3 linked regions of the Nothobranchius furzeri genome follow. The protein of the gene in region 2 purifies or fractionates together with the protein of the main gene of each other region. This does not show direct contact. Links are inferred from orthologs where the notes say so. Each region holds a gene or a part of one and is shown on either strand. Other genes may lie near its edges. The genes, in order: ybx1, lrrc59 and stau1.

What was found.
Region 1: the proteins of lrrc59 (region 2) and ybx1 purify together in Homo sapiens (co-immunoprecipitation; 3 studies listed by BioGRID and IntAct, with this or other methods). This does not show direct contact. The link is inferred for Nothobranchius furzeri from reciprocal best matches to the Homo sapiens genes LRRC59 and YBX1.
Region 3: the proteins of lrrc59 (region 2) and stau1 purify together in Homo sapiens (affinity purification with mass spectrometry; 3 studies listed by BioGRID). This does not show direct contact. The link is inferred for Nothobranchius furzeri from reciprocal best matches to the Homo sapiens genes LRRC59 and STAU1.

The regions. Positions count from the first base shown.
Region 1 is NC_091755.1:32,516,048-32,519,799, forward strand, and holds the start of ybx1 (Y-box-binding protein 1), read right to left. Parts: upstream 2,371-3,752; 5' UTR 2,194-2,370; coding exon 2,088-2,193; intron 572-2,087; coding exon 508-571; intron 274-507; coding exon 240-273; intron 158-239; coding exon 68-157; intron 1-67. UniProt on the Homo sapiens protein: DNA- and RNA-binding protein involved in various processes, such as translational repression, RNA stabilization, mRNA splicing, DNA repair and transcription regulation.
Region 2 is NC_091756.1:45,077,630-45,081,381, reverse strand, and holds the start of lrrc59 (leucine-rich repeat-containing protein 59), read right to left. Parts: upstream 2,657-3,752; 5' UTR 2,244-2,656; exon of another isoform or gene 2,153-2,243; intron 2,126-2,152; 5' UTR 2,035-2,125; coding exon 1,936-2,034; intron 1,840-1,935; coding exon 1,780-1,839; intron 1,445-1,779; coding exon 1,286-1,444; intron 894-1,285; coding exon 789-893; intron 718-788; coding exon 645-717; intron 464-644; coding exon 278-463; intron 188-277; coding exon 1-187.
Region 3 is NC_091743.1:66,052,589-66,055,629, forward strand, and holds part of stau1 (double-stranded RNA-binding protein Staufen homolog 1), read right to left. Parts: coding exon 2,997-3,041; intron 2,911-2,996; coding exon 2,739-2,910; intron 2,657-2,738; coding exon 2,561-2,656; intron 2,471-2,560; coding exon 2,258-2,470; intron 2,169-2,257; coding exon 2,025-2,168; intron 1,937-2,024; coding exon 1,790-1,936; intron 1,320-1,789; coding exon 1,256-1,319; intron 1,185-1,255; coding exon 865-1,184; intron 794-864; coding exon 671-793; intron 1-670. UniProt on the Homo sapiens protein: Binds double-stranded RNA (regardless of the sequence) and tubulin.

The sequences.
Region 1 (3,752 bases), on a different chromosome or scaffold from region 2:
AAAGGCAAAGTAAATTAATCATGATGGAACACAATGTCCTTTAAACAAACAAATCAAAGAAACTTACTTTTTCTCCCTCAACTACATCAAACTCCACAGTTTCTCCGTCCCCAACACTGCGAAGATATTTCCTTGGGTTGTTCTTTTTTATGGCCGTCTGAAATTACAAATAGTTTGAATGTCAAGTCTGCTTAACCACAAATTTCAATAAATGAATAAAAACTAAAGCAACAACTGACCTGGTGTACAAAAACATCTTCCTTTGTATCGTTCCTAGACAAAAGAACAGAATCTTAGTTAGCTGCATTCTGCTGAGCCTCTGCAAACAGACTTAAAACTAAGCCAGTGGGGATTAATTAAGTTCTGTGGGTTGCAACAGGATGGAGATGAGCAGAAAAATAATATGGTCAGCCAAGTACGCAAAGCATAACTTAATAGGATTAGCATGCTTCACTCTCACCCACACCCAGAAATGTACTTTGACACAGGGACCAACAGGTGACTCACCTATTGATGAAACCATATCCATTCCTGACGTTGAACCATTTGACTGTACCCAAGACTTTTGTTGCTGCAATCACAGTCAGAACAAGATTATTAAATACCATCGTCTGCCTGACATGCATTTAGAACAAATCCATATAGCTTAAGTGAAACTGAAACGCTTCCATCATGATGGGACACTTAACGAACTACATCAGAACTATAAAAACATTAAAAACTATGGCCACACATAACGTAGAGGTTATATTTAACCCGCAACTGTCACTCCTATTATAGACACTGATGCTTAGGAGACCCCAGGGCCAGCTGCTCCTAACATGAGCCACCAGTAAGAAAATATCCCAGTAACGATACAACAACTGTCCCAAATGACGCATCCAAAATGTCCCATAATGCATGACAAAGATGAGGATGCAAACAGCGACCAGTCTCTGCACTCGCATGTTTAGTTACTGCAGACCTGCTGCTCCATTTTAGGACGCAGAACCTGAAGGTTCACACGTGGTTGGGTCGCACCCGGATACGTTAACGAGCTGTGAGCTGTGCTCTGCTGGCTATTAGCATGGCTGTGTGGCTAAGGTTAGTACCATGTGGTTGGAGTAGAGCCAGCAAAGAGAAACAAACAAACGCGCATTACTAAACTACATTAATCCGTATTTATTGGTATATATGATAAAGATTTCGGTTTTGAATTAGTTTTTAGCGAACAAATTACAAAGCAGCGGGAAAAAACGGGAAAACACACGGCGGACATTTTGGACGGCCTCCCCTAAAGCCATGTAAATAGCCACTTAGCTGGCTAGGCTAATGTAGCTAGGTTAGCAACCGATGATCTATAGTAAAGTATTTAGGCCACACCGACAGCACGCAAATTCAACCAAAATAAGACCGCCATTGACGGATGTAGCTGGAGTCGCTAGCCAACAACGTTTCTTCTGACAATTTGGCCAAAAAAATCGGGACTGAACGCTTTGGAAAAGGAGAATATTTTAGATAAAATGCCTTGACATGGAATCAAGACTCTTTCGTGCGAACAAAGAGATGGTTAAGCAGCTAACGTTCGTAGCCACTGTAGTTATTTCACATGAACCGGTGTTATAGAGCATTTGGTAGGATTGTTCTGCAATTATTGGCGGTCCAGATGCAGTTATGCAGTTATTAAACCCTAGTCAAAACATCGTGGTTCTGGCAACGGTTGGAAGTGACAGCGAGCATCCATGTGATGACCGGCCGGATACACGCGACTCTCAAACGGATATTTGACGTGAGGAGGCCGATGAGCAATGGAGATAATCAGAATGGAATTCACGATTTAATCTGTGAATAAACCACTCAATTTTTAGAAACTAGACTAATAAAAACCGTTAGATTGAATTTTTTGGACCATTATAATAAGAATGCCCAAAGGAGTGAAGAATTTATCCGTCAACTGGCACTAACGTTTACCAACTGGAGCAAATTAATTTGACGTGGCTGAAATTCTCACGCAAGAACGGCAGCTTTTATTCAAATGCTACATCCACACCCAAGAGCGTATAAATTATAAATGATAACTCCGGCTCGGCTAGCCTAAGAATTCTTACCGATGACCTTCTTATCCCCCGCGGAAGCTGCGGGTGCCGGGCTGGATGGGCTCTCCGCATCCGCAGCAGGCTGTGGAGGTTGTTGCGTCTCGGCCTCGCTGCTCATGGTTACTACTCGTTGGTAATGGCTTCAGCCGGCGGCGGCTCTCTGATATTTTTCCCGGTGCTAGATGGTAACCTGGGCCGGCGGTGGTGGGGGCTACTGCCTTCGGGCTCTCAGCTTTCTTCTTTCCGCTCCCGTTGCCGATCGAACTGGGCAGAACAAGAGACAGTGCAGGGGAATGTTCCCAGGCGAAGACCCGCCCATCTCGTCTCCTGATTAGCTAAAATATGTAGAATTGAACAAATCTCCTTCCAATTGGCTATTGAGACTGTCAATCTTTTTTGAGCAAAGCCTTTGATGAAATTATTGGTCAAAAAGACGTACAGAAGTCTCAACGCCCCCAGTGACGTAAAAGCGAGAGAATTCTGCTTGTGACACTTCCGATAGTATTATGCATTTTGAATTATGTCATACAAAACTGTGAACCATACATGTGGTATGTTGCAAATGTGACAACTTTATGTTTAATTTATTTTGTCGTTTCTAGATAGTTGAAATAATTACTACTATTGTGATGTTTACCGTGGGAACATTCTAAGAAAAGACAAATAAACACCCCATAAATATTAGCAGGTAAAGACAAAGGTAACTGCAGAATCCACTCATATTATGTTCATGCACCACTGGCACCCTTTACAAGCACAGGCCAATGTGTGAAGCGCATGCGGTTAATCTCTCTCTCTCTCTCTCTCTCTCTCTCTCTCTCTCTCTCTCTCTCTCTCTCTCTCTCTCTCTCTCTCTCTCTCTCTCTCTCTCTCTCTCTCTCTCTCTCTCTCTCTCTCTCTCTCTCTCTCTCTCTCTCTCTCTCTCTCTCTCTCTCTCTCTCTCTCTCTCTCGGAGTTAGTGCTGCTAGATTAGACAGATTTTATGTCTCTGGTAAAAAAAAAAAACAGCTTGGGCATTTCGTGCAAGAGAGGGCCAAAGGGGCCTTGATCCGGGCTCGTTTCACCACATTACAGGACATGGATGCTCCAACATCCTTCTTTTTTAACCTGGAAAAGACTTTCAAACCAGAAAAAAACAAATGGTTGCTCTTCGTCTGTCAGATGGACAGTTATCCACAGACCCAGTGGAGATGAGGAAGTATGCAGGAGAATTCTATACCAGCCTATTTAAGGCCATGTGATGTGAACTGTGCCAGAGAGCTGTTGCAGGGGCTCCCTTCCTTGACCACAGCAGACCAAGACATCTTAAATGCAGACATAACCATGGAGGAGCTTACAACGGCAGTCTCCCAGATGGCTGCAGGAAAATCTCTGGGGATAGATGGCTTACCTGCTGACTTCTACAAATTCTACTGGAGCAGTATGGGACAGGACCTGATGGATGTTTTTAAAGACTCACTTCAGACAGGAGCACTTCCTGCATCGTGTAGGTGGGGCGTTCTGTCCCTGCTGCCGAAAAAGGGGACTTAACCCAACTAAAATACTGGAGACCAGTTTCCTTGTTATGTTCAGACAATAAGATTTTTTCTAAATTCTTATCAAACAGACTTTGGGGATTCATCGGAGGTCTAATCCCAGACGATCAGTCCTTTTGAATACCAGGAAAGTAATTAATGG
Region 2 (3,752 bases):
ACCCAGGATACGCCGTCAGTGACGGCGGCGTTGATCGGCACGCAGACGGCTTCCTTCTGTAGGTCGGTGAGCTGACAGGCAGCGACGATTCCTACCATGCCCAACATCAGCAGGAGGAGGAGCTTAAACACCAGACCAATGAGGGAACGGCATGGTTTAGGTGCTGGCTTTGCTGCAACGTTTTTATCTGCAGAGACAAAACGTGACATCAGAACATCTTCAGGCTGAAACTACAAACGTTTCTCATTTCAAACACGAACCATCGCGTTGATCTCACCTGCTGCTTGTCCATTTTTCTTTTTCTTCTCATTTTTCTTCTGCTGAGCCTTCGCAGCTGCAGCTGCCACCTGAGCGTTGTACTCCTTCCTCCTCTTCTCCTTCTCCTCTGCTTTTTCCTGTTTACGGGCCTCCCTCTCTTTGGCCTCCCGCTCCCTCTGTTTGGCCTCCCTCTTCTTCTCCAGCTCTACGAGCAGACAACGTTGGGTCAGTGGGTTGACTTTGATGCTTTTTACACTTTAATCTGAAACCAATTTCCTACAAATGGTCAAACATCTAGCTTCACAAATCTTGATGCAGGAGGTTTTCTTTCACACCATCGATCGTCTCTTTAACACCTTTTGTCTAGAACATTTTCATTTACCCACCTTTTTCCTTTAAAAGACGTTTCTCCCGTGCGCGATCAACATCCTCCTGAATTGCTCTCATGAGCTGCAGAACCTGAGAAATGCAGTCATTAGTTACATGTTTGTTTTGGTGAACAAGCTGATTAATGAATGAGTCTCTGCCACCTTTATGGCACACAGTTTACACTGCTTCTCATCCAGGCAGTCTCCTGCAGCTTTAGCTAGGCCAGGTTCCAGAGGGTTATCCTTCAGATCGAGCCACTTCAGATTCTAAAACACACACACACACACACACACACACACACACACACACACACACACACACACACACACACACACACACACACACACACAGTCACTTTGGACTTGGACTGATACATCAGACAACAGGAGTGTGACATTTATCAAGTTTGAATTGTGATTTTAGCTTCTGATCATAAAAAACAACATAATGAATAGATTTCAATTAAATTGTCACATTCTGCATTGCCAGCATAATTTCTCATGTTTTACAAAGTCAGAGCCAGAGCAAGGGCCCACGGTACAAGAGTAAACCCCCCCACCACAGCTATACAAGGACGGGGAACATAAACAGATCCAGTGCTCTGAGGATCTCCATGTAAAACGGGCGGTGTGTTTGAGCTGCATGGTCCATATCTTACCCTGAGCTGAGAGAAGCTGACAGGCAGAACCGTCAGCTTGTTGTTGTACAGGTCCAGATGTTGAAGGTTGACTAGGTTCCCCAGGTCATCTGGCAAACGGGTCAGCTGGTTTTTACTCAAGTCCAGCTTCACTAAGTGAGTCAGGCTGCAGAACTCTGGCTGCATGAACAAAATAAAAGTAAAAACATGATTGCAAATTATTCAGTTTGAGCAACATCAACCCGCAAACATGCTTAACAATAACAGCAGAAACTAGATGAAAGTGGATAGGTAAACCTCGAGATTTTAGAGTTTATAATTATTTATGCAAGAAAAGAAAAGTTTGAATCACTCTCTCCATTTAACAATGTACAGCTCGGTTTAATAGAAATTCAAACTTTTAAAAGAAAAAGTATCTTTGGTAGCTTTAATGAAACATACTGACGTGGATGCACTCACGTGCTTTCACTTAAAATGCTCAATATTTGCTCTGGATGAGTCAGTTAGACACTTACAGGAAGGGAGATGATGTTGTTGCAGGACATGTCCACGGCAGTGGCTTTGGGAAATGAAGACTGTTAGAGAAAGGAAGGTAGTTAAACCATGACATCACAACATCTCCTTATCTGGCTGTATTTATTACAAACATGTAAACACCCTGAGTGACTTACGAGCTCTTTGACTGGTACCTCACTGAGGTTACTCAGGCTCAGGTCCACTTCATTTCCACTGATTTTATCCCTCAGGTTTAACACTTTGTTTTTACTCATCCTTCAGTCCGAGGCGCCTCTTGCCAACACACCGAGGTTAAACAGATCAGTGGAGATACTTCTGATCGCCAGACAACAGGAAACCCTGAAACTACGACGATTTTATAAGATTTCTCACCTGTAAACGATAACCGTGGAAAACTGCGTCCTAGTTTAACAGCCGGTAAACAACATCGACATATAAGACAAACACACGGCAGGTATATTACGTCAGTTAGAAGAAATTTGGTGCACAAGCTTTGAATCGTGTTTCTGGCAGTGGCAGCACTGACTGAACGAAAATCCACGTCACTGATTGAGCTGCTACGCGGAGACGTTAGCGCAAACCACGCAGCGTCCCCTGCAGGACCGGAGGAGACAAGACGCGCTTTGAATCTCCCTCTCCAAATCCTAACCCGAGGCGCTGTCCTTCTCTTTAGCATGGAGGCAATAGTACATTCATCACAAATTCTGACTTAAGTTTTCTTAGTGCTACTTTAAAGCAGATTTAAAAAAAATCTGTTTTCCCATAAAGTATGACTTAACTTCTGAATGTTTAACCTCCGTGTTTCCTTTTCGGGCCAGAGCAATCTTCTTTACTCAATTGGCCCCACCCCCCTGATTTAATGTGTAAGTGACAGATTAAAAAAGCAGGAGGAAGTGCAGCACAGGAACATTAAATAACTTAATAAACAGTGACATGATTATAGATATCTGTATTTTTTTGTCTTTGTGGCTTATGTAACGAATTAAGGATTAGATTAGGTACTTGTGTATTTATTTTCAATTTTATTTTATCGATGATTATTTAATGAGGTATATGCCACCAAGCTCTTCTACCAAACGTGGAAGACATGTAAAGGGGTGGATGTGGCAGGTTTTGAATGAAAGTACTCAACCTAATACTTCACTGGTGTAAGACCAAAAAAGATTTGTGCCAAATTGGGGCCATTTTAAAGAGAAACCTTGAAATTCCCTTTTTGTTAGCTCAAACATCTTCTCACAGACAGTGCAATGCATACACTTTATTAATCATTTTAATAAACAGCTATGCAATTTGTATTTATTGTTGCTAACATAAAACAATTCTGCACTCAAAAACCAGTTGTGAGTCAGCCTCACAACTTATTTTTGATGTTGTTTTTTGTTTTGTTTCGGAAAGGCTAGTCTGTGCTTAACCAGCTGTAAAACATAAAGCACAAGAACAGACTGGCAGCTGTAACATAGAAAACAAAATAAACTTTGTTGATGGTCTTAATTTTTCTGGTCCAGTAGCTGGTCTTCCTCTCCTCTTGTATGCCACTGAGGAGGACATTCATCGTTTTAATCAAGTCATTTAGTTCTCCTGAGAACATTTCAGAGGAATGTGGTTCCTCGATCAGCTGACTGCCAGAACCCTGAAAAAAAGAAAGTAACAAACAGCACAGAAAAGGTGAATGGGCCATTTGTGTTTTCTACATGTCTTTAATAAATGCCTGTTAGGACCTGTGTCCTCTTGTGCTATGATATTGTATTCTCTTCAACTTAGACCTGTTTTTATTACTAACCCATGCCATTTGCATCATATTTGCTACATGAGTTTCTGAAACCTCTATCTCATTGACATGATCAATATTTGCCTTAAAAACGGGTTGTATATAATCTGATACATGTATTTTGCCTCCTACTGGATTATTATGCCAAACAGGCAGCTCAAGTTTAGTTTTGATCATTCCCAACATGGCTACTCCCAGCGAGTG
Region 3 (3,041 bases), on a different chromosome or scaffold from region 2:
GCAGTCCACATAAACATGAAAACACAACGCTTTTAGAAAAAGTGTGGGTGTTTCAGAAACTAGAACTTCTGAAGATTTGTTTCTGCTGCGGCGTGTCTTTTTCTTTAGTATTAGCATGGCTCAAAAATAGAGAATTCATGTTTTAATCCTTTTAAAGTCACCTTGTTTTACATTTATTCAGCTTTTTGTTTATTATTTAACCTTCTTGGCTGTGAGATAAAACTGCTTAGCTTTAAAAAACTAAGAAAATCCGCCTGACCTTTCGCGTTGATGACAGGAGGATCCATAACCGAAGAATGGTTGTACTTTCTAGGTCACTACAGTTCAGCTATTACAATAAATGCATCTCGTTTTCAACTCCCACTCCTCTGCTGCAGCTGTTCAAACAAACCTAATCACAGAGAGCAGATCCTCTCTGACATTTTCAGATCAAATAACCTCATCATCACGTTTCCGTCTGCGCACACTGCACTGCTGAAGACGTTTAAAATAAACTTTTACTACATGAAAACAATCTTTTTTATTTTGAGACAACATAAACTAATCTGTTACCTTGTGATCTTTAATTCTTAATATCAAAGTAAAAGCATCTTCTTTTTCTGAAAGCGTCGCTCTTACCGTTGCTCCTGAGTGTGTGGGATTATACTGATGCATTGTGGGAGTTACTAACCTTATCATGACAGGATTCTACGTCTTTCCCAATCCCGTGACTGATGAGAGGAGGCTGGGAGGAACAGTTAATCAGCGACACAAACTCATTCTTGTTGTTTTTGGGGAAGTCTTTGTATTCCACCTGCAAAGCAAATGGCAGGTGTCACTAAGCTTGACCAAACGTGAGCTCACGCGTTCATCAATGGTTCTTACCAGCAGGCCCTGCACGGACGCCAGGTAGCCGAGCTGCTCCGACGGCCTCGTGAGGGGGCCGTGGGGCAGCTGGCTCAGGCTGTTTTTGTTCTTTAGGATAGTCTCAGCAGTCGATGACACTCCAGCATAAAGCAGCTCGTTGGCAATCATGGCAGTGATGGTGGCCTTGCCCGGGTTGGGCACAACTCGGCTGTAGTCCTTGACCTGGGGTCCCTGGCAGGCTCCAACTGCCTGGGCCACCTCAGGCACCATGGGCAGGATGCCCGCAGGCAGCTGCTGGTGGCTGAGGTAAGGCAGGCGGAAATCCTCCTCTTTAGGAGCTAACAGAACAGCACTGGTAAGAGCAGATTTGTTTCGCTCCAATCATACAGACGTCTCAGCTGAAACTCACCTAACGCCACCTCCTCCACAAAGAAGGTCACTTTACGCCCATCGCCAGGTTTTTTCACGGGGGTCTATTAAAACAAAAGTTACACGGACACGGTTTGCATGAACATTTAGAGTTTCTGTGTAATTAACTTGACTTTGTTGGTAAGAATTGAGAGCAGCATCTCGCTGGGATGTGGCTGCTGACAATTGTAGGAAAAAAAATGCAGTTTTAGTTGAAACTGTGGATAAATTGTGCCGTTAGCGCACATTTTCTGGCTGAAATGTTATCAAAACTTACTAATTAACTGTTTGTTTAAATTGTTTATTATTGTTCCTGAAATGTCGGATTGTCTTTGTTTTTGTCTCCATTCAGTCACAACTTAGTTTCATAGGACACCAACCCCTCCCAAAGCAAAAGGAGGTTCCACACACCCTGCATGATCAAACTTCAAACATTCATTTCACAAGAGCTGGTATCTGAAAAAGCCTTGCAAACATTGTGGAAACTCTTTGTAAATGTTGTCTGCACTGGGAGTTACTGGCTTCAGCTTTTCACCTTTTCTTCCGTTTTCAGAGCCGGTTTGGGAGGCTGAGGCTGAGGCACTTTGTATCCCAAGAGTTCCAGCATTTTCTCAGCTGCGTTCCTCTTGGCCACCTTCTTACTCGGTCCCATTCCCTCTGCAGACTGGCCACACACAGTCACCTGGAGCAGAAACGAGTAAAAGACGTGTGTAAACAGTAGAAAACTACTACACTTTGTTGCCAGCGTGCCTGAACTGCAGCTGACTCACCTGCATGACAAACTCCCGGCGCCGTGGCAGACCTCTCTCTGTAACCAGAGTGTACTCAGGCTCCTTCTCCTTCTTGGCCTGCTGGATCTGAGCCAGGCGGCTGATGGGATTCATCCCCTGGCCATACTCGGGGCTGGTCTGCAGCTGTGGACATAATGAGTAAATCATAACTTAATGAAGGCTCTTTGGGTCTGATCTGACTAATCCCACCTCGGATTCCGGAGCAACATTACCTTGATGATAGATTTGGTTTTCTTTTTGATGCGTGGCAGCTTCCTTTCCACACTCGGTATGTGGGGGAGCCTCTTCAGCTCACACAGCACCGCCGCTGCCGCCAGCTTCTTGGCGATCTTTTTACTCTTCCCCTCGCCGTTTCCCGAGAACTCTCCGACTGAAACGCTCACGACAAAATTCTTCATGTGTGGAGGGCCCTCCTCTTTTAAAACCTGGAATGAAAAATAAAAACAAACTCTTTTTGTTACAGTCGCAACTTGAACATTCATCTTAAGACTTCTGATGTTAGCAAACATCCAAACCTCAAAGATGACAGGTAAGTTTCGTTTGAGGGCAATTTCAAAAACTTGGCTAATTTCTGATTTGTTTAGGTTCTCATCCTCGGATTCTCCATTCACCTGTTACACATTTAAAAATAAAACAATGTGAAATATTAACAAAACAGTATTTAAGCTGTCTGGTGATGGCTACTCTTCCCACCTCTGGACACTGCTGCAGCATGGGCTCCTTCTGCAGGACTTTCAGCGCTTTGGCAGCAGCATCGTGTTTGGCCATCTGCCGTGTACGCCCCTTTCCAACGTACTGCTGACCCCCGATGGAGAGCTCCATGTGATAAATCATCGGTCCTACCGGGGTAAATGGATAGTAGTACCTGGAAAGATAAGGAAAGTTGTTCCACTCTTGAAAATCAGAGGCTAAACAGAGGAAATATGATTTTTTAAATTGGTGTAAACTGACTGTTGCATAGAGCGCTGGTAAGGCGGAGCACGAACGTTGTAGTTG